Linked DNA regions of Elephas maximus indicus. The protein of the gene in region 2 binds, or shares a complex with, the protein of the main gene of each other region. Links are inferred from orthologs where the notes say so. Each region holds a gene or a part of one and is shown on either strand. Other genes may lie near its edges. The genes, in order: NXT1 and NXF1.

The links.
Region 1: the proteins of NXF1 (region 2) and NXT1 are in contact, whole or in part, in a crystal structure (PDB 4WYK), measured with the Homo sapiens proteins. The link is inferred for Elephas maximus indicus from reciprocal best matches to the Homo sapiens genes NXF1 and NXT1. Residues at the interface, in NP_006353.2 of Homo sapiens: Ala366, Pro367, Thr368, Thr369, Leu370, Pro371, Pro372, Cys373, Lys374, Gly375, Tyr377, His411, Gly413, Cys415, Cys416, Ser417, Leu418, Ser419, Ile420, Pro421, Phe422, Arg440, Asn441, Val442, Lys443, Lys444, Lys446, Pro448, Thr449, Arg451; in NP_037380.1 of Homo sapiens: Phe6, Lys7, Val10, Asp11, Cys14, Glu18, Thr44, Val46, Trp47, Asn48, Gly49, Asn50, Ala51, Phe61, Met64, Leu65, Pro66, Ile72, Ser73, Val74, Val75, Asp76, Cys77, Gln78, Pro79, Val80, His81, Glu83, Ala84, Thr85.

Annotation. Positions count from the first base shown.
Region 1 is NC_064843.1:65,787,759-65,798,191, reverse strand, and holds the start of NXT1 (NTF2-related export protein 1), read right to left. Parts: upstream 4,169-10,433; 5' UTR 4,025-4,168; intron 3,644-4,024; exon of another isoform or gene 3,428-3,643; intron 1-3,427.
Region 2 is NC_064825.1:125,953,363-125,963,852, forward strand, and holds the start of NXF1 (nuclear RNA export factor 1), read right to left. Parts: upstream 4,179-10,490; 5' UTR 4,027-4,178; coding exon 3,999-4,026; intron 1,712-3,998; coding exon 1,531-1,711; intron 1,321-1,530; coding exon 1,167-1,320; intron 625-1,166; coding exon 541-624; intron 445-540; coding exon 340-444; intron 218-339; coding exon 137-217; intron 53-136; coding exon 1-52. Other genes in the region: STX5 (syntaxin-5), read right to left, coding at 6,610-6,769.

The DNA.
Region 1 (10,433 bases), on a different chromosome or scaffold from region 2:
GAAGAGAAACTAGATAACCGGGAGCTCCTAAAAATCAAACACCAAAACAGTAAAAAGATTACCTAAAGACTGGGAAAAAGTTTTTAGCTATGACATTTCTGACCAGTGTCTAATCTCTAAAATCTACATGATACTGCAAAAACAACTACATAAAGACAAATAGCCCCATTCAAAAATGGGCAAAGGATATGAACAGGCACTTCACTGAAGAAGACATTCCGGTAGCTAACAGATACATGAGGAAATGCTCATGATCATTAGCCATTAGAGAAATGCAAATCAAAACTACAATGACATTCCATCTCATTCCAATAACGGTGGCGTTAATCCAAAAACACAAAATAATAAATGTTGGAGCGGCTGTGGAGAGACTGCAACACTTATACACTGCTGGTGGAAATGTCAAATGGTACCACCACTTTGGAAATCGATTTGGCACTTCCTTCGATTTTTAAAAAGCTAGAAATAGAACTGCCATAAGATCCAGCAATCCCACTCCTTGGAATATATCCTAGAGAAATAAGACCCTTTACACGAACAGATATATGCAACTCGTGTTTACTGCAGCACTGTTTACAACAGCAAAAAGATGGACGCAACCAAGGTGTCCATCAACAGATGAATGGATAAATTATGGTATATTCACAGAATGGAATACTATGCATCGATAAAGAACAGTGAGGAAGCTGTGAAACATTTTGTAACGTGGTGGAACCTGGAAGGCATTATGCTGAGTGAAATTAGTCGGTTGCAAAACGACCAATTTTATGAAACCACTATTATAAGAACTCAAAAAATAGTTTAAACAGAGAAGAAAATATTCTTTGATTATTATGAGAGCGGGGAGGGAGGGAGGGAGAGGGGTTTTCACCAATCAGATAGTAGGTAAGAACTATTTTAGGCGAAGGGAAAAACAACACACAATACAGGAGAGGTCAGCACAACCGGACTTAACCGAAAGCGAGAAGTCTCTGAATAAACTGAATGCTTCGAAGGCCAGCGCAGCAGGGGTGCGGGTTTGGGGACCATGGGTTCAGGGGACATCTAACTCAACTGGCATAATAAAATCTATTAAGAAAATGTTCTGATCCCACTTTAGAGCACGGCTTCTGGGATCTTAAATCTTAGTAAGTAGCCATCTAAGATGCATCAATTGGTCTCAACCCACCTGCAGCAAAGGAGAATGGAGAACACTAAGGATACAAGGTCATTAATTGTGAGTCCAAGAGACAGACAGGGCCACATAAACCAGAGACTACCTCAGCCTGAGACCAGAAGAACTAGATGGTGCCTAACTACAACTGATGACTGCCCTGACAGGGAACACAACAGAGAACCCCTGAGGGAGCAGGAGGAGAGCATGGGGATGCAGACCCCAAATTCCGCAAAATGACCAGACTTAATGGTCGAACTGAGACTAGAAGGACCCCAGAGGTCATGGTTCCCAGACTTTCTGTTAGCCCAAGACAGGAACCATTCCCAAAGCCAGCTCTTCAGACAGAGATTGGGCTGGACGATGGGACAGAAAATGATATTGGTGAAGAGTGAGCTCCTTGGATCAAGTAAACCCAAACAAGCAGACACAGGAAACTGTAGGGAGCTCTTGTCTGGAGAAGAAAGGAGAGGGCAGAGGGGGGCAGATGCTGGCTGAATGGACACAAAAATAGAGAGCGGAGGGAAAGAGTGTGCTGTGTCAATAAAACCCCAAAAAACCAAACCCAGTGCTATCAAGTCGATTCCGACTCATAGCGACCCTATAGGACAGAGTAGAACTGCCCCACAGAGGGGTTTTCAAGGAGCGCCTGGCAGATTCGAACTGCCAACCCTTTGGTTAGCAGCCATAGCACTTAACCACTACGCCACCAGGGTTTCGCTGTGTCAATACAGAAGTGGAAACAGGAGTACACAGCAAGGTTACATAAGTTTTTATATGAGATATTGACTTGTTTTTAAACTTTCACTTAAAAAAAAAAATCTTAGCCTAGACCTTTTGTTGAGAACATGAATTCAGACTACAAGCCTCTAAAATCATGAGGCAATAAATTTCTGTTCTTATAAGCACCGCCCCCCAAAAAACCTTCTGACTCATGGCAACCGTGTACAGGACGGAACAGAATTGCCCTGTAGGGTTTCAAAGGCCGTGAATCTTTATAGAAGCAGACTGCCACATCTTTCTCCCATGGAGCAGCTAACAGGTTTGAACCGTTAAGCTTTCACTTAGCAGCTAAGTGCGTGAGCACCGTGCCACTAGAGCCTGCTGTAATCATCAGCTAACAAAACAGATGACAGATTCCACATGGGGTGGAGAAAGAGACCTGGTCAGGTAGATTTAAAGGCTGGGAAAGGCACTGGCATCTGCCTCTAGTAAAGACCTGTGAAGAGCTGGGGGTGGGGGGTGGGGGGTGGGGGGTGGGGGGTGGGGGGTGGGGGGTGGGGGGTGGGGGGTGGGGGGTGGGGGAGCAGCCCTAGACATAAGAGTTGGGTCTTCCACAGACACTGGTCTTTCCACTTCCTCCACGGACCTCGATACCAGACATCAGTGCGCACTTACTCTGGGCTAGGTACTGTGATAGGGCTTTACACGCCTTACCTTCACTTAAGCATCACCATGCTGGATGAAAGGAGCCATGGTGGCACAGGGGTTAAGCACTCAGCTGCTAAACTTAAGGTTAGTGGTTTGAACTCATCTGCCTCTGCACGGGAGAAACCTGTTGCAGTCTTCTGTAAAGATTTACAGCCTTGGAAACCCCACCCGGCAGCTCTGCTCCGTCCTGGAGCGTTGCCAGCAGCTGGATAATGAATGGGTGAGGAGGACATTACACAACAGCTTTATAAATCAGAAAACAACAGTCTGGAACAAGATCACAACAGTAAGTAGATGCCTGATTTACCGTTCATAAAAACGTCTGTGGACCTTGAAAAATTTCAAAAGACTGCTGGCCTTTTATTTGCTCAAAGTTCCCTGCATTTTTTAACTAAAGCTGAATTTGTCTACTTGAGCTTAGCTCCAGGACAAGTGGTTTGAAAATTCCTTTCTGGAAACTCAGATTTCTCTTTCTGGAAGGCCCGACCATTACAAGGTCCACATTCCTCCTCATCCTGATGTCCCGTCAGTCCTCCATCGTCTCAATTCCATTGTCTCCGGACCTTCTCTTCAGTTGAGCCCCTGTTCCCCCACCTCTGCTTCCACTCACAATCATGTCCCCTCTCCCAATAAACGACCACGTCTCTTCGCTACGTTAATACAGAGCAATAATGAGACTGTGGAAAGTGGGATAAATGAAAATCTGTGAATACCGCCTCCTTTTCTCTGGGCTCCACATCACCGAATGCTGAGTGAGAAGATGCAACAGTTACACAGTTCTTCTGAGGCCTCAGAGCTGCTCCTCTACATGGCTCTCTCCTGCTCACTGCAATGCAAACTTACCGAGAGTTTCTCTCTGAACGCATGCTCTTCCTCCCGCACACGCAGAAACCTAACGCAGGCCTGCACTGATACCTCCTGATTTAGCGACAAAACCCGCGGGTTTCCCTTGACAGTGAAGCAAGGCTCGGGAATGCCCGTGTTCCTCTCCCTGTCTCTCGTGAATCGCTCCGCGTCCGCGCGTGGTCCCCAATGTACCAGATGGGGTCGGCGACCTACCTGTGCAGACCACATCCCGGGTCAGCGCGGGCGGAGAGGGTCTCCGCCTCCCTCGCCAGCGCGGGTCGGGGTGCGACTCAGCGACCCCCAGTGAGCGTGGGCGGGGAGTGGGGGCGGGTAGGCGTCCGGGGTGGGCGGTGGGCGTCCCCGGGGGCCGGCGGGGCAGGGGCAGTGGGCGTCCCGGGGGGGCGGGGCCGTCTCCGGTGGGCGGGGGGAGTCCCCGTGGGGCGGGGGCGTCTCCGGTGCGCGGGGGGCGGTAGGAGTCCCCAGGGGCGACGGGGCGGGGACAGGGGGCGTCGCGGACTGCAGGTCTACCGAGAGGCCCGGCACCTGAAGGTCACGGGTGGGACTGCCGAGGCTCTCAGCTCCCCCATGGCTCACCTGTGGGGGGCGCGGGAAGAGCCGCCCTCTTTTCCTCCAGCGGGGCTCACTCAGCTGGATCGCCGGGGCCCTAGGCGGCGGCGGCGACTGGCGGCCGGAGGCGCCCCCGGCGGCTCCCGGTGCAGATTCCCACTGGAGGCCCGCCTTGCGTGACCGGCAGCTGAGTGAACCAATGGGAAGGCGAGTCGGAAGGTAGCCCCGCCTAGGTGTGGCGGGAAGAGAGCCGCGGTTTCCGGGCGGGGGAGGGTCCAGGCAACGGCAGCGCTCGAGCTTTCATTGGTCCAACCGGGTCACAGACTCCGGTCCAAATAGTTAGGTGAGATATCGTTGATTGGATAAAGTTTCCAGGCCCCGCCCCCGGAGCCGAGGCCGCCCACTTGTGATGCTCTGCCGGAGAGGTTCATGCGCGCACGCTCAACTGCAGCTGGGGCTTCCGGTTCCGGGGCATGTGACGCCCCGCGACTTGTGCATCCGGGGCAGCCCACTGAGGCGCTCAGTCAGACATCGCGTGTGGTCGCCGGGAGCACGTGCACCCTCCGAGAGGGTAATTATCTGCCCAAGCGGTGACCCGAGCGGGCGCTGCCGTTTGTAGCTTGAGGCCCTTGGAGTTGACGGGCTGAGGGGTTGGGAAGGTCTTCTGGTAAGCGGGGACCCAGGAGCCCCGGCTGAGCAGTGGTTACAGGGCTCGGCTGCTAACCGAAAGGCCCGCGGCTGGAGCCCGCCGGCCGCTCTGAGGCACCCGGACGAGGCTTCCGTGAGCTTGTCGTTAGGTGCTGTGGTGCTGTCCGGCTCATAGCGACCCTGAGGCAAGGGACGGAGCACGGCCGGCTTCCGTGCCGGCGCCCCGGCCTGCTGCTGTGAACCCGCCGGTGCAGCCGCCGCGTCCGCGCGCCTCGCCGAGGGTCTGCCTCTCTCCGCTGACCCTCAGCCGAGCATGATGCCCTCCCGGGACCGGGCCCTCGTGGTAACGTGTCCACAGTACCAGAGACGGAGCCTCCTTATCCTCGTTTCCCAGGAGCGTTCTGGCTGCACTTCTGCCAAGACGAATTACTGCCTCGGAAGTACTGTGGGGCAGGTCAGCACGTCCTGTAGGGTCGCTGGGAGTGGGATTCAAGTCCAGGGCAACGGGTTTGGTCTCGGGAAACTGCCTAAAAGTGAGAAGAGGGTCGAGGATGGGGATGAGGGCGTGGGTAAAGCTGGGAACTGGCAAAAGGGCGCCAAAGGGCAGTTTACCTTCTGCGTCTTGAGAACCGAGGGGCTCCTTCCTTCACTCCATACTTATGGTGCCAGCTGTGGCTCAGAGCTTGGCTGGTGGCTTGATTCTGTGCTCCAGCTTTCCAAACTAGCTGTCTGGAACTTCAGCTGACCAATATGGAATCATTTAGTGAAAATAAAAGTGAGAATAAAACACGTTTGGACTTCAGGCGGAAGATTCTGAGCTCCACTTGCTGACCCTTAGGTGCGATATCGGATCCACCAGGTGTTCCTTGGAAACTATGGGGCAGTTCTCTCTCCTGTGGGGTCACTGAGGGTTGGAATTGACTCGATAGCAACGGGTTTGATTTTTTTGGGTTAAAGGTGAGGGAGCATTCTGGGCATGGGCTAGGTTCAAGGATTTTGCAGTGTCCTTTTAGGGCGTGTATTCATCGGAGGGATGCTTTTTTGGTGTCCTCAGCCTTGAGTTTGCTCGCGTTGCTCAGAGAACCCTTGCTCTCAGATTTCAAGACGAGCTTAGAAACCGGGTGGGCTGTTTAGTAAAGATGGGCTACTGAAATCAAGTAGGTGAAGGAGGTTTGGATTGTAAGAAGTAAGCTGGAGGCTGAGTAGAAAGGTCGAATGAGCGTCTTTGGAGCAGTGCTCATACCAGTTATTTCTTTATGAAGCCCAGGACAGTGAGGTCAGGGTTCGCTGTGCACAAGTCCATATCCCAGCACCAGTGGATGAAAAGAAAGCTGATTACTCTGTGCTCACTAGGTTGAATGTTAGGCTGCTTTAAGTTTCCCTGTATTCCCCTTTTTTCATAACCCTTTGAGGAAGGTGTTATTATTCCTGATATTATAGACGAGGAGGCTGAGAGAGAAATGAAATTAGCAGCCTGGAGTTACAGAGTTGAGTTAGACCTAAAAAAGCTGAACAGGACAACGTTTGTCCATCTCCAATGCCTTGTAAATACAGAGGACTTTGTCCCCAAGAGGCAGCAGAGCCAGCAGTGGGTAGGAAGGCAGGGACCTTTAAGACCTGTGTCTAGCATCTAAAATTGTGCTTAACTCACAGTAAGAGCTCAATAAATACTGTTTGAATGAATAGGCTTTGGTGCAGGACAGGCCTGAGTTCAAATCATTGCTCTACAACATTGCAATTGTGATGACCCCTCCCCCAAGTCTACTCCCCCTTCTCTTGGAAGCCCCGCTAGTTGTTATTCCCCTGCAGTCCTTGCATTTGGGAGTTTAGGGCCACGCCTGGCCCTCAGGCACAGGGTGCTGGCACTGTGCCCCAAGCAGAACTCAGGGATGGTGGGAGACCCAGTCAGGGCCACCAAGCCTGGAGAAGGTGGTTGCTCAGGGGTGCTGGGAAAGAAATGTTTTCTCTCTCTCTGGACTTGTGGTGTGTGGATGGCACTGCGACAACCATCTTTCCCCCCTGAGGGGAGCCCCATGCCCATGAGACAGACATGAGAGATGGGAAGAAATCAGGCACTCGATGACTGTGTTAAGACCCTGAGTCAAACCAGCCCTGAAGTTTGGACTTTGCAGTTTCAGGAGCTAGTAAAATATCCTTCATTTTTCATGCTATTTAAAGTTGGGCTTTACGTTACTTATAATTTAACTAGTATACCTAGTAGAGGTGACTGGTGGGTTGACTAGGGGATCATGTAAACTAACCTCTCTGAGTCTCAGCTGCCTCACCGGAGAATGAGGACAATAATAATACCCATTTTCTTGGGCAGATGCGAGCAGCGAAGGAAGCAATGCTTGGCACAGAGCCTGGCCTAGATTAAGCACCCAGGAAACACCACCAAGGCAGAATTATGCTTAGACAGTTTGCACTGACAGCAACTTCCTGATTTGCCAACAAGCTCTCCCTCCAAAGACTGGCTTTTAAGCATGGGACAAGTGTATTGACAAATTAGCTGGATTTATCACCAAATCACATTGGCACCTTCTAGAAAATGAAGCCTCTCTTAGAGCAGAGGCCCCGTTTGCAGCCTGGAGCCTCTCCAGGGAGGGAGGACACATCTACGTGCGGAGCCTCTGGCAGCTCTGAAGACAGGCCTGACTTAGGATGTTTATGTCTGAAGGACAGGGTTGATCTCCCCTGTTGTCGGTGTGTGTCTGCTGCAGGACCTAGCAGCACGTGTTTGCCTTAAGAGGCTTGGAGCTGGGCCACCTGCATTGGCACTGATAACAAATCTTTTTTTTTTTAATCTTTCCCTGATTTATTTGTTTCAGAGATTGCCATTTGAGGGCAGAAGGTAGAACTGAGAGCCTCTCGTACCCAGGGGGCAACAAGACTAAAGCCTCAGCAGGGCCATCAAGCTGCCGAACAACCAGGCGAGCCAGGGCTGTAGTTCTGGGAGGTCACTTGGGGACCCCACTTTTGGGGAGACTTTTCTGGAGGCCATGGAAGGAGCATATCATATGGGGCAGACAGGGTTTTGTGAAATCCTAGCTCTGCCACTCTGCCTCCTCTGTTCCTCGGTGACTTTGTGAAATGGGAGTGGGAATGCCGTAGTAGTTAAATGGCAGCGCATTGTGGAGGCACCACTGGGAGTGTTTGCCTCGCCTACAAGGATGCCCTTTGTTTGAGAATGTTCTTGGAATCATTGCTGATTGGGTTGCAGGTGGAAGTCTCTCCAGCTGAGCCATCAAATGCTCTTTCCCGGAAACGTGGAATTTTGGGAGCCAGAAACTGCTAATAAGCTTCAGGTGTGGCTGGAACTGAATATGGATATTTATTGGGGTTGATTGTTCGCAAGTAACAGAAACCAGTTTTGGCTAATGTAGGCCAGAGGTGTTTACTGGAAGCCTGCAGGTGCTTGCTGAGCCAAGGCAGGGCTTGGTAAGACTCCTGGGGTCTGGGGAGCAGGAACTGGGCAGTGGGTGCTTCAGGTGCTACCTCGGACAAATTTCTAGCCATTGGGATCCTCCACTCAAGATTCAGATTCCTGGGAGACAGAGAGCTGCATTGGCCTAACTCCAACCATGCGCCACCTGCCGCTTGGCCAGGAAGGGGTGGGGCAGCTTGACAGCCAGTCCCACTGAGGAGAGGAGAGGAGAGTTCCTGGGATTCTTGGAAGGCAGAAAGAACTGAGGCCAGTAGCGCCTGTAGGTTGGGAGCTGGGTGGCCATGAGGACAGACGAGATAATGAAGCAGAGTCAAAAGGCCACGTGATCTGAGAGAGTGCTAGAGTAGGGCACACCCACGCAGGCATAGGCACATGAGCTCTTGGTGAACAGCTGCCTTGGTTCCCAGTGTTTTTTTGTTCCTTGTTGTGGCAAGTGTTATTTTCCAAAAAACGGGCACAAAAATGTTTCTGGTTCCATGTGCTTGTCCAAACCTTGCCTTGCCGTCCCCACCAGGAGATGGTGTCTGTCCCCTTCCCTTGGATCTGGTCAGGCCTGGGGACCCAGTGAGGCAGGCCCAACTCACAGGGTTCAGAGGAAATGGTTGTGTGTGAGGTTAGGTCATAAAAGGGGGTGCGGCTCTGCCCAGCTGTCTCTTCATACGCTCATCCATGAACCCAGCTACCATGAGTAAGCCCAGAGCACCTGTGGGTAAGCACAGAAATGAAGACCCAAAGCTTCCACCCAGCTGAGCCACCCACTGCCCAGCCAATAGCAAGCACCAAGTGGCCAGTTGTGTGAGTGCGCTATCTTGGAGGTGAGTGGGACTGTCCTGCTGCTGCTGGTAGAGATGAGCCTGTCCCCTAAGCCCTGACCAAACTGCAGGGGCATGAGAAAGTAAGTGATGATTGTTTTCTTAAGCCACTAAATTTTGTGGTGATTTGTAATGAGCAAGAGAACCAGAGCCATTTGCGTTACTGTTCTCCAAGTCTCCAGGAGAGCCCAGCGTGGCAGTACCTTCTTTTTAAATTTGTGTCTGTATGAAAGGAGTTTGCCACTTGCACTAAAGGAACCTGAGGACAGGGCTCCGAGAGGCCTTGCAAGGGGATGCACCAAAGAACTCGCAACAGTCCCGAGGCGGTTTCCCTACCTAATCTTGAAAATGAATCCACTGGTCAGAGAATGAGTCATTTCAAACCAGCTCGTAAGACTGCGCCGTAGGATGGGTGTCAGTTTATTCATCCATAGGCACAAGTAGCTGCCAGGGCCAGAGCGCTCATGTTGCTAGGCAAGTTTGTTCTCTCTGCAGGAGCAGATGGAGGCAGGAATCCTCGGCGTCATCAGTGAGCAGCTCTGTGAGCGTGGATCAGAGCAGGAAGAGACGATGGCCAGTAGGGTCCTGGGGTTGGCTGTATCAAGCTGACGTGGCCAGATGGATCTACCTTTCCAGTGAGGACAGCAGCTGGCAGCAGTGGGATCTGAGACCCACACTGAGTCCGCTGACCCTGGCTCCCTCCCACCAGCACTCCTATCTTGTCTCTGTAATAGCCCTTCATCCCCCCATCTTTTTGTGTGTTTCTAAGCTCTGGCTATGGGTATCGGGACGCATTCCCTCACATCATAGCCTGGCAGCCCAGAGCCTCGTTTCTCTTCAAGGTGACATTGCATTTGTCGGCTGGCTTGACTCTCAGGGGACAGTCTTCTCTGCTTCTAAGCAGGTTCCGTGACCTAATGTGCAGGAAGTGCCTAGTACGTAGTGAGTTCTTCTAGAGGCAGGTCCAAAGTGAGGATTCAGAGTAAGTCATCTGGGAGGGGCGGGGAATGCCAGTAGGGGAGTGGGGTGTTGAGGAAGGAGAAGAGAGCTTGACCAGCCAGCCCCACCGTGAGTGACTAGAGCCTGATCGTGCTGTGGGACTCTGAAGACAGCATGGAACACACACCTGAGAATTATCCTGCCTGGCAGAGGCAGGGGAGGGTGCAGAAGCTGGAGTAGTTATAGACCAACTCCCGAGAGCCGAGGGCTGCTGGGTGGGTGTCATTGCCCTTGTACTCCTGACCCTTCTGGCAGGAGAGGTGGAGAGGCATCCCTCCCACAAGTCTGGAGTAGAAACCGTCAGGCGTTTGGGACTCAGCTGAGTTCCCTGACATGGGAACCCGGGGGCTGGCGGGCACCAACTGTTACAAGCAGGCCCTGGGTGACCAGCAGACTCAGTGTTTCTTACGTGTGACATTTGGTGACATTAGGTGTGACTTTGAGGTGGCTGGTGCTGGGCGCCCCGCCATCAGACTCCCAGTCAAGCGGGCCAACCTCAGGTCTGGGGCGTGCTGTGCCTGTGTACCCTGAG
Region 2 (10,490 bases):
CCTTGAGGTCCAGTGCTTGCTGGGAGCCATCATATCTTTTGCTCATGATCAGCTAGAGAGAAAGAGAAAAGGTTCAGCTGTGACTGGGGATGTGTGTGGGGATGGGGTGGAAACACATTGCTCGAGCCTGCCTCACCTTTAGCTGCTCTACTTGTTCTGGCTTCAGCTCGTTCTGCACCGTTTGGGGTGGAGCTGAGGGGTTGATGATGATTGATATCTGCAGGGAAGAAACAAAGGGCAGGGTAAACCCCAGGAAGTCCAAGCCCCAGTGCTAAGACCCAGTCCCTGCCCTGTGCACCAGTCCCCATATCCCGCCAAGCCAGGGCCCTCTACACATACCCTTCGGTTCTCCCGATCCAAAATCTTATAGTTGACAGCCTTCAGTGCAGAGGCGGTGCTGGCATCTTCAACAAAAAATTGGGCCCGTGTGTTCTCATAGTGAAACTGTAAGAAGCAGAAATAGCAGCATTAGACTTAGAGCCCAGACCCCTTCTGCCCTCCAAGGTGCCCCACCAGCCTGAGACTGAGGCCTTATTTCACCTCGACAGGAGTGAAGGGAACACTGCACTTGCTCTGAATCAAGCTCAGCAGCCAGGCCTTGTCGTATTTTCTGCCATAAGGAATCTAAAAAGGAAAAAGAAAAAAAAGAGAACAACAATACGTAACTAAGGTAGAAGAGCAAACCCAACCTAGTGGCTTTTTCAGGCCTTCTGCCAAGCTTTTAAAAGATTTTCTAAGAAGAGGACTAGACATATGCTCATTATTTAAGTTAGATGTGAACCCCTTAACTTGCTTCCTGTCCACTTAAACTTTTTTTGCAAAAGAATAAAAACTTTTGGTTCTAAAAGCTCCAAGATTATCGTTTACACCTTGCCTGCCCCTCTGAGAACTCCAGGGATTCTAATTGAGACAGCCAGGAGTTTCTCTATCTCCCAAGCACAGTTACCATGTTTCCCTGTAGATGGTACCCCCATCCTGCCTGTTCCCTTCTACAGACCAACTTTTTGGTGTTCTACGATACTGATCCTTAGGCAAAACAGACAGATGCCTAGTTGTAAGATAAAGAGCCGAAAAGACTGACTTTATGAAATAAACAGGAAACGCTTTCACTGTGAGCCCAGCCCCCGTCTCCCCTACACCACCTACTTCTTTTCCAAGGTACTCACTGTAATCTTGAACCAGTTCTTCGAGGTCCCATCCTGGCTGGTGCCAGCCGCCCCCCTTTCTGGAGGAGCTCTGTCTCTCCGCACAGTGACGTGGATACGGCCTCGATCGTGCCAATTATCACCGCGACGGTTGGGTCGGGCAGCATAAGGGTTGCTGTGAGGAAAAAAATGTCCGTAAGTGCTAGAAAATTCTTCTCAAAGGCCTCCACACTGTTATCATGGCTAGAGCTGAGGGTGTTCAACCATTAAGCCGATTCTGGCATTTCTCATCCTTCAAAATGGGAAAGAGAAGGGGTATGGACAGTAAGAGAGCTGCAGAATCTGATGGGTCACTAAATTTCAGCCAGACCAACTGGTCACTTACTATCGTACTCGGGGACCATCCTGGGCATCAACCATCGCCACATCGCCATCATCTTCCCCAAGGCGAGAAGACCGAGTACCAGAACCGCCTCTTCCAGAGCGACGGTTCCCCTCGCCATAATTCCAACGGAAAGGACCCCGGCCTTTTCTTCTTCGAGGTAAACTAACACGGTCATCGTGCTCTGGAATCGGAAACAGGAACACAAATTAGTTAGAAACACATCAGTAGTCCAGATACCCTGGTGTGGCAATCACAGTATTTGTCACCCTGTACTACTAGACGAGATACATATAACAGAGGCCACCTCCACACAAACCCCTCTGCCTGTCTAAAGAGCCCTCTCTGAGAGATGGCATCTTCAAGGAAAAATTCTTGGCAAACTGTGTTTAAAAACCAAACTCGTTGCTGCAGAGTCTATTCCAAGTCCTAGCGACCCTATAAGGACAGAACAGAAGTGTCCAATAGAGATTCCAAGGCTGTAAATCTTTACAGCAGCAGACTGCCACATCTTTCTCCCGTGGAGCAGCTGATGGGTTCGAACTGCAAAACTTCTGGTTAGCTGCTGAGTGTTTTAACCACTGCACCACCAGGGAAAACTGTGTAGGGCTTTCGAAAATGACAGCAGAATTTCGTACTACAGAAAGGAGAAGCAGGCTGTGGAAATGTGGGTAATCCAAAAGTATAAGTGGACACAAATCAGACCCCCAAAGTCACTTAAAGTTCCTGCTTTCTCTCAGCCTCCCAGGTCTACTCAGTGTAACCTGATTTCTCTCACACCTCCTAACCTAACCAATCACAATGATGACATCAGCTTTTGGTAAATCGTACTTTTTACCAAATGTCAACCCCAAATATGACCAATTTTAGGGCCACCTTAAAAAATCTCCCTGCTCTCAAACTGCCACTCTGAAGTTTTGTGAATGAGTCCTCCATTTCCTTTGCCTGAAATGCCTTTAGCTGTGGGGACAGCTCCTAGACTCAGGCTCGAGTGGCGGCTCCAGCCTAGGACAGATGCTCAACAAAGGAGCCTGGAATGAGCTCCAGGGACATGATTCTCTGAATCCAGATGTGTAGGAATAGCTTTTAAGAAACGGTCCATGACTCCCCAAGAAGGTCTACCTAACGCCTGGTATCCTCCAACCAAGAAGATCTGCCTAATGCCTAGTATCCTCCGACCAGTGAACCCCAACAAACTGACCCAGGGAAGGAAGAAAAAAAAAAAGAATAACAACAGCAGCTCACATTCACTGCACGTTTTCTCCAGTCTAAACACTATGCTCCAGGAACTTGACTTGAACCATCTCATTTAAGCGCACACACACACACACCTTAGGAGTTAGATACTATTATTACCTTATTACAGATAACGGAAGACAAGGCCTGAGTTTAATTAACTCACTCAAGCTTGGTGCAGCCAAATCAGGATTCAAACCTCGGCTGTCATGCACTCCTAACCACTGTTGGTTGTTAGGTGCCCTCAAGTCAGTTCCGACGCAGCAACCCTAGGTACCACAGAACAAAACACTGCCTGATCCTGCGCCATCCTCACAATCATGGCTACGTTTGAGCCACTGTGTCAATCCACCTTGTTGAGGGTCTCCTCTTTCTGACTGATCCTCTACCAAGCATGATCTCCTTCTCCAGGGACTGATCCCTCCTGATAATGTGACTGAAGTACATGAGATGAACTCTCGCCATTCTTGCTTCTAACGAGCGTTCTGGCTGTACTTCTTCCAAAACAGACTTGTTCGTTCTTCTGGCAGTCCGTGGTATATTCGATATTCTTTGCGAACACCATAATTCAAAGGCCTCGCTTCTTCTTTCATCTTCCTTATTCTTTGCCCAGCTTTCGCATACACATAAGACGTTTGAAAATACCACGGCTTGGGTCAGGCGCACCTTAGTCTTCACAGCGACATCTTTGCTTTTTAACACTTTAAGATGGTCTTTGGCACAGATCTGCCCGATGCAATACGTCGTTTTTGATTCATGAACACTACGCTGGACTAAACCCAGGAGATCAGAATATCGAGGTGGTGTATAGGTGGTCTACGACATTAAGCTCAAACGGCAGGAAGAGGTACGATACCGACTACACGCGGTAGAAAACTGGGCACCACGGCAGCCCAGATACACTGAGTCACATTAAAGGAAGAGTCGGGCCGCCAAACTGAACTGACAGGCATCAACCACCCACAGTTCAAAGGAATCCTGTCACCCCACCCTGAGCCACCCGCTTCGAGCCGCAGGTCCTCACGCCAGGATTCCCGAGTCAACAACCCCGGCGCCCACCTCGAGTGCGGCTGGGGCCTCCCGAGGCCGCCTCGCCCCCGGCCCGCCCGCCCCGCGCCCTTCCCCACGGACGCCGGGCCCCTCGCGGCCTCACGCCCCGGCGCTGAGGCCTAGGCCGGCGCCGCCCACCCCGGCCCCGGATCGCCCCGCTCCGCCGCCCGAGGACCAGCACTCACCGCTGTACGACTTCCCCTCGTCGGCCATGGCGCTGCGACAAGCAGGGACGCTCAGGCGCGGGCCACCAAACGTCCGAACGCCCAGGCACCCAGGCCGAAACACCTCTACGCCCGGCACCGCCGCATTTGCCCGGAGGAGCACGTCGCGCGCCGCCGACGTCCCCAGTTGGTGGGCGGGGCCGCCGGGACTAGCGCAGCGCACTGCGCGTGCGCAAACGGCAGGACGCGGCTGGGGGCGGGGCCGGCTCCGAGGGCTGCGCTTTCGGAGCCCGGAATCCCAGGCCCATTCACCCGCCACCTTCTTCGAACGTCGGCCGGCGCTCCTCCGGCACCTCCGGGGCAGTGGCGGGTTAACCGGTAAGCACGGTATGCACGGGGTTAACTTTGCGTACTAATCTGTAGTGCACAGTTTCATCTGGGGTTCATGTCGAACGCAGGTGAAATTGCGCCCTAGATTGGTAATGAAGCACAGCGAAGCCCGCGAGTACCCTGTTTATTGAGTTAATCCGTCCTGCTCGAGTTAGCGCGGGAGCAGCGAACAGCCCAACGGCCTCGAGGCTGCTCCAGCCCAGGACTCGGAGAGAAATGGGGAAGAAGGGTCGCGCCAAGGGCTTCCGAGGAACTGGAGACCGGACCCCGGAGTGGGATTTCTCTCTCACGGACACCTAGCAGGATCCAGCCATTTGACCAAGTTTTAGCCCATCCCCTTACCAGCAGGGACCTTGAGCCTGGTTTTTCTCACCCATAAAATGTGTTAATAACCACGAAATTGAACACCGGAATCTAATGAGAACACATGAATGAATGACAGCAGGGACCATGACTTAATTCATGCTTTTTTTCCCTCCAACTCCTGGCCCAGTACCATGCCTGGCACACAGCAGGAACTCAAATATTTGTGAAGTAAATTTCCCTTCTAAGCATCCCTCTCCTGGAAGAGTTACCAAGTCAAATGAGGCTGCGTGTATGCCGGGCTTTAGCAAACACTTCACAAATGTCCCCAACCACTATGCACTGTGCTAGGCCCACGTCATATGTCAACTGGGCAGACAACGAAGGTGCAAGCAAGACCACTTGCTTAAGAGAGGCCACAGCCAAAACCAAACTCACCGCTGTGACTCGATTCTGACTCATACTAACCCTACAGGACAGAACTGCCCCATTGGGTTTCCAAGGCTGTCATCTTCACAGAGGCAGACCGCCACATCTTTCTCCTGTGCAACAGCTGGTGGGTTCGAACTGCCGATCTTTCAGTTAGCAGCTGAGTGCTTAACCACTGTGCCGCCAGGGCCCCTTGAAAAGAGGCCAAGGGGCAAGGAATTATTAAAATGCCAGGGTGAAAAAAGCCAGGGGCTCCCCTAGGCCCCAAGGTACTAGGACAGATCCTGAGTAGGATGACTGGAGTCTCTATAGCTCGAGTTTCCTTTGGGATGTCTGAAAGACGGACTCCAGTGATCTCAGAATGGTGTGGTTGTGGGTTCTGGTCAGGAAGGTCAAAGCAGCCTATCAACCTCCCTGGAGGATGGGTATACTGGCAGTTTTCTCCTCTGTTCTTTGACTGGCTTCAATTTGGCGAGGGCTTGGAGAAAACACAGAGCCTCAGCTGGAGCAGGGCATATAGCACTTCATTATTTGGTACTGACAGCAGGCAGAGCTCCTGCCTCAACCAGCTCAGAGAAGAACTGAGGTCAACTGGTTGGAGGATGCAGATGGAATCAGTCCACACACTGTTCGAGATGGTCTCAGAGTTGGCCACCAATCACCCACTCTGGGATCCAGCTCCTCCTTTTGAAAGAAGTTTCATGCTAATGAGGTGCTGTTGCATTTGGTTCTCTGCTCCCTGGAGGCGGCTGTGTGTACAGAGCTCAGAGGCTGCCACAGTCGGCCTTGGGGCCCCTTGGAGCCATCAGCGCAACCCTTTCAGTTTTGGTACTGGGCAGTGGTCTCACCCACTTGCTGCCTAGGCCCTTCGACGCTCCCACCCAGAAATGACAACATGGCTATTGAGGCTGACAGTCTTGCTGTAATTGGGAGAAAATGGGCTGCAGTGCATTTGGCAGATTGAGAGTCACGAGCAGCCATGTTGGGGTTTGTGCAGGCAGCCGAGGGGCTCAGGACCCCCAGCCTCACATGGTGAAGAAAGGAAGAAGAAAGAGGTCAAGTTCTAACCCAGATGGGAAAGTTGGTCCCTGGGACAGTTTCTCTTCCTCTCCTCACTCTCAGGAAGGTGGGGGGAAGGGCATCATTTCCCCTTGCTGCCAAAGTTTCCTTTAGGAGAGGCTGGGGAGGATTTAGAAAAACTCATAGTAGAGACAGCCTCTCCCACTGGCCCCCAGCTGGCCTTTGCTCCCTTCCAGTCACTTCACAGCAGAGTCCAAATCCAGAACCGTGTGTGTTTTGTGGGTTGAGGATGGTGAGGATGGACAGGGTAGCCAGAGGCAAGATGGGGGGGGGGGGGGACGTTGTCAAGGGGCAGTGGCCATTCTTAGCAGTTCCAGGGAAACAGGGCCTTTCTCCCAAGCACCCTGCACAGGCTCAGTGGCAGCACTGGCCACCTGCCTTCCCGGGAGGGCTCCAAACCCCCATGGAGTGCCTTAAGAGTAGAGAGGGCTCAGGCAAGGAAGACCACAAAGATGATGAAGAAGACAATGAGGATGAGGAAGATTTTGACCATGAGCCACCGATTGGAGGTGACTGACTGGAAGTACTTGAGGATCTCTGAGTGGGCGGCCTCAACATCCAGCTGGGCTCCTAGCACGTTCTCGTCGATCCTGGGGACAGGCCGGGAGGAAAGGAAACAGGACACTGGATTAAAAAGAATGCTGTTGAGGTGTATTTATTGACATGGAAAGATGGTCACAATATGTGGGGACAAAAAGGGTTTATATACAATATGATACCTTTTTTTGTATCTATTACGGGGCATAAAAAAGGCTCGGGAGGGCTACATAACCAAGTCTTAGCTCTGGTTTGAAAACCGGCTCTGTACTTATTAGCTTATGACCCTAAGCCAGTCACTTAACCTCATGTCTCATTTTCCTCATCTGCAAAATGAGGGTATCCCACACCCTACCTCTCAGGCTGTTGTCAGTCTAAAATAAATCAACAAATATAAAGTGCCTAATCCATAGTAAAGGTGCCCCAGTGATGCAACGGTTAAGTGCTCAGCTACTAATGAAAAGGTTGGTGGTCAGAACCCACCCAGCAGCTCCACAGGAGAAAAAACTAGCAATCTCCTCTGGTAAAGATCATAGCTCAGAAAACCCTATGGGACAGTCCTGCTCTGTCGTGTGGGGTTGCTATGAATCACAATCAACAACCCATGGGTAAGATCCCTCAAAATGTTAGCTGTAATTTTTGGCTCATCAGTACTTACTCATTTCTGTCTAATAAATATATGCTCATTTATAATAGGGAAAAAAGTTCACAGACCATCAGAGTCAGGAAATCCTGGTTCTGAGTGAGAGAAGAAGAGAAATTTAATGTGGACAGGAAGTCAGGGGATGAGAAAAGGCCTACTGGGAGAACATGTCTCTGAGAATGGAAGTACGAGGTAAGAACTGTAAGGTGTTAATTACGTCAGTGCCAGCAGTTTCAGTTGAAGGGCTTAGGAACAATTTTATAGCAGGCTGAAGCAGAAAAGGGGGATAAGGAAACAGAAAATGTAGACAAGCATATGCAAAAGAAACTGAAACTTGAAAGGATGAAAATTTTCCAATAGACATAGACATCCTTCGGTTTAGAGAATTAGGTGTTCTTACATATAGAGAAGTTCTTAGAGGAAGGGCAATCTCTTGAGAAAGTCCCGAGGAAAATAAAGGATTTCCCAGTCAATCTGCATATGCAATCCTAAAAACCAAATAGAAATCCTTATCTTTGCAAAAGTAGTCCCTGTGAGCGGACACACTTGTGGGCTACAAGTACAAAGAATGTGGTGGAGCCTGGCACTCCTGCTGGGAAGTGAGAGGAGAGGGTGGCCCAGTGGCTGCCAGTTCCCAGTCCTGAGAAGGTGGTCATGAAGACTGTGAGCTAACCTCAGTGTCTCAAACACAGGAGGAGCCTGGATCGTATGTGATTTCCAAATAATGTTGGAGAGGCTAACTAAAGTGTCAGGCTTCCTAGCTTTTGGGTATAATTACATTTCTCAGTGTGGATGCGTTTGTTTTCTTATAACCAAATAAGGTTCATACGGGCAACTACGAATGGCTTTGCTTAACAAAAATGGAAAAGGTTAATAAATGCAACCTGGCATATGAAAGATTTTCTACCAGAGTTCATGAATGAAAACTGATAGACAGGAGTTCGGATGGTGAAAAAATCAGGAATCAGTGGGATATTCAGAGATAGTAGCAGGGGAATTAGAAAAAAAATGAATGGGACAGAAAATATTGCTTGGGAAGGAGAGAGGTGAGCTAAGGAAAACAGAAAGGGGCAAAGTATGCAACGGTAGGAGGATAAACAAATGTTCTATGAAGAGAAAGACACACTGTAGAGGGAAAGAATCAAGCCGTAAGAAGTTGGAGTCTTGGGATCAAATTGACAACAGCAACTCAAAAGATTAGATAGGAACCGTAGGGCACATGAGCTTATGTTAATGAGGGGGGAACAACTCAGAAAAGGAAGGTGACAATGGCTGCACAACTCGAAGAATGTCATCAATGTCACTGAACTGTAACATGCAGAAACTGCTGAACGGGTGTGTACTTTGCTGTGTATGTTCCCAACAACAAAATAAAATTTAGGAGGAAAAAAAAAAACTCCTGTGACAACAAGAGCAGATAAGAATGTTGACACATGACAAAAAACGTAGTCAATGTCACTGAATAACTTATTATTTAAATGGGAACCTAATTTGTTGTGTAAACTCTCACTGAAAACACATTATTAAAAAAAAAAAAACCGTGACTGAAACAGAAAAAAAAAATTGATTGCTTATAGACATGGTGGACATTGCGAAGGCGATGTGCAAACGAGTCACTCTTGGGAAGTAAAGGATAAGGAGTGTACAGGGGTGTGGTTATATTATTCATGGGAGGAAACCAAGGCGCGTGACAGCCATCTGGCTATCTCCCGCCCAATATGTGGACATTTTTGCATGGCTGGCTCTGGCCTGATACCTTTTCCAGAGTGTCCTCAGGTAGGAGGACACAGAGGATGAATGTTAATCTCAGCCAAGAATGGGCAGCCAACTTCCTCTAGGTATTAAAAGCAAATGCAGCAGCAGCTAGAGTTTGGCTGAGCAGAAATGACAGATAATGACACTGATATGAGAGCATGGGAAACCAGAGGACTATAATGTGAGTATGAGAAGTTGAGGAGAAAGAAGAAAAAGGTTGAGCCCAAAAAGGCAATGAGCCCAAGAACTAACTGTAAAGGTCACCTGCCCATGATTAGAAGACCTGGGATTTTAGTTTTCTGAGTTTCTGTTTCCCCCAAATTTTATGATTGGGAGTAAATGGACTCATGTTAAAAATACACAGAAGCTGCTCTGAAGTGGCTCCATATGGCCAGAATGAAGAAATTTCATTGTCATAAAGAATGATGGCAAATGGATTATAATACATTGAATTAAAAAAGCCATGACTTCATAGTGATATATAGAGAAAATACCAGCTAATAAATGTAAAAGGAAATGACAGAATTAGAAAATCACCATTTTGCAATGCACAATCTAACAAGTGATTCCGACAAGGATCACCATGAGCCTGCAGAGCTGGACGTTCACATGGACTCAAAGCATCGCTCCACAGATGACTTAGTCACAGAAAGAGGGAAAATGGGCCTTTCTGACGGAGAAATCTGATGGTTACCACCTTAAAGTGCCCAAACGTGGCATCACCAATAAAGGGATAGTCACACATTAAGTGCCTACAGATGTGATCACCTAGGTTACACAGCCCAAAATAACCTAATCATGAAGACACAATGGACCCATGTACGATGCAGGACTTTCTCTAACTCTACTGTACCGGCCTCTTCAAAAACAAGTCAATGTCATAAAAAGTAAGACAACACCAAAGGTAGACTAAAGAGAAGTAACAACCAAATACAACGCGTGAATCCTGCTGGGTTCTAAATTGAATTTAAAAAAGCTAAAAACATTTTTTAGAACAAAGACATTTGAATATGATCTGAGTACCAGAGAAAAAAACTCATTGTCGTTAGTCGACTCCGACTCATAGCAACCCTACAGGACAGAGCAGAACTGCCCCATAGGGTTCCAAGGAGCGGCTGGTGGATTCGAACTGCTGACCTTTTGGTTAGCAGCCGAGCTCTTTAACTACTGTACCAGCGGGGTTCCTACATACTGTCAGAGAATTGCTCATTTTTTAGGTATGTGTTATGGGCTGAACTGTGTGCCCCAAAAAGATACGTTCATCAAGTCTCAACCTCTGGTACTTGTTGATGTGACCTTGTTGGGAGACAGTCTTGGAGGATGTTATGAGTTAAAATAAGGTCATATCGGAGTAGGGAGGGCCTTAATCTGACATG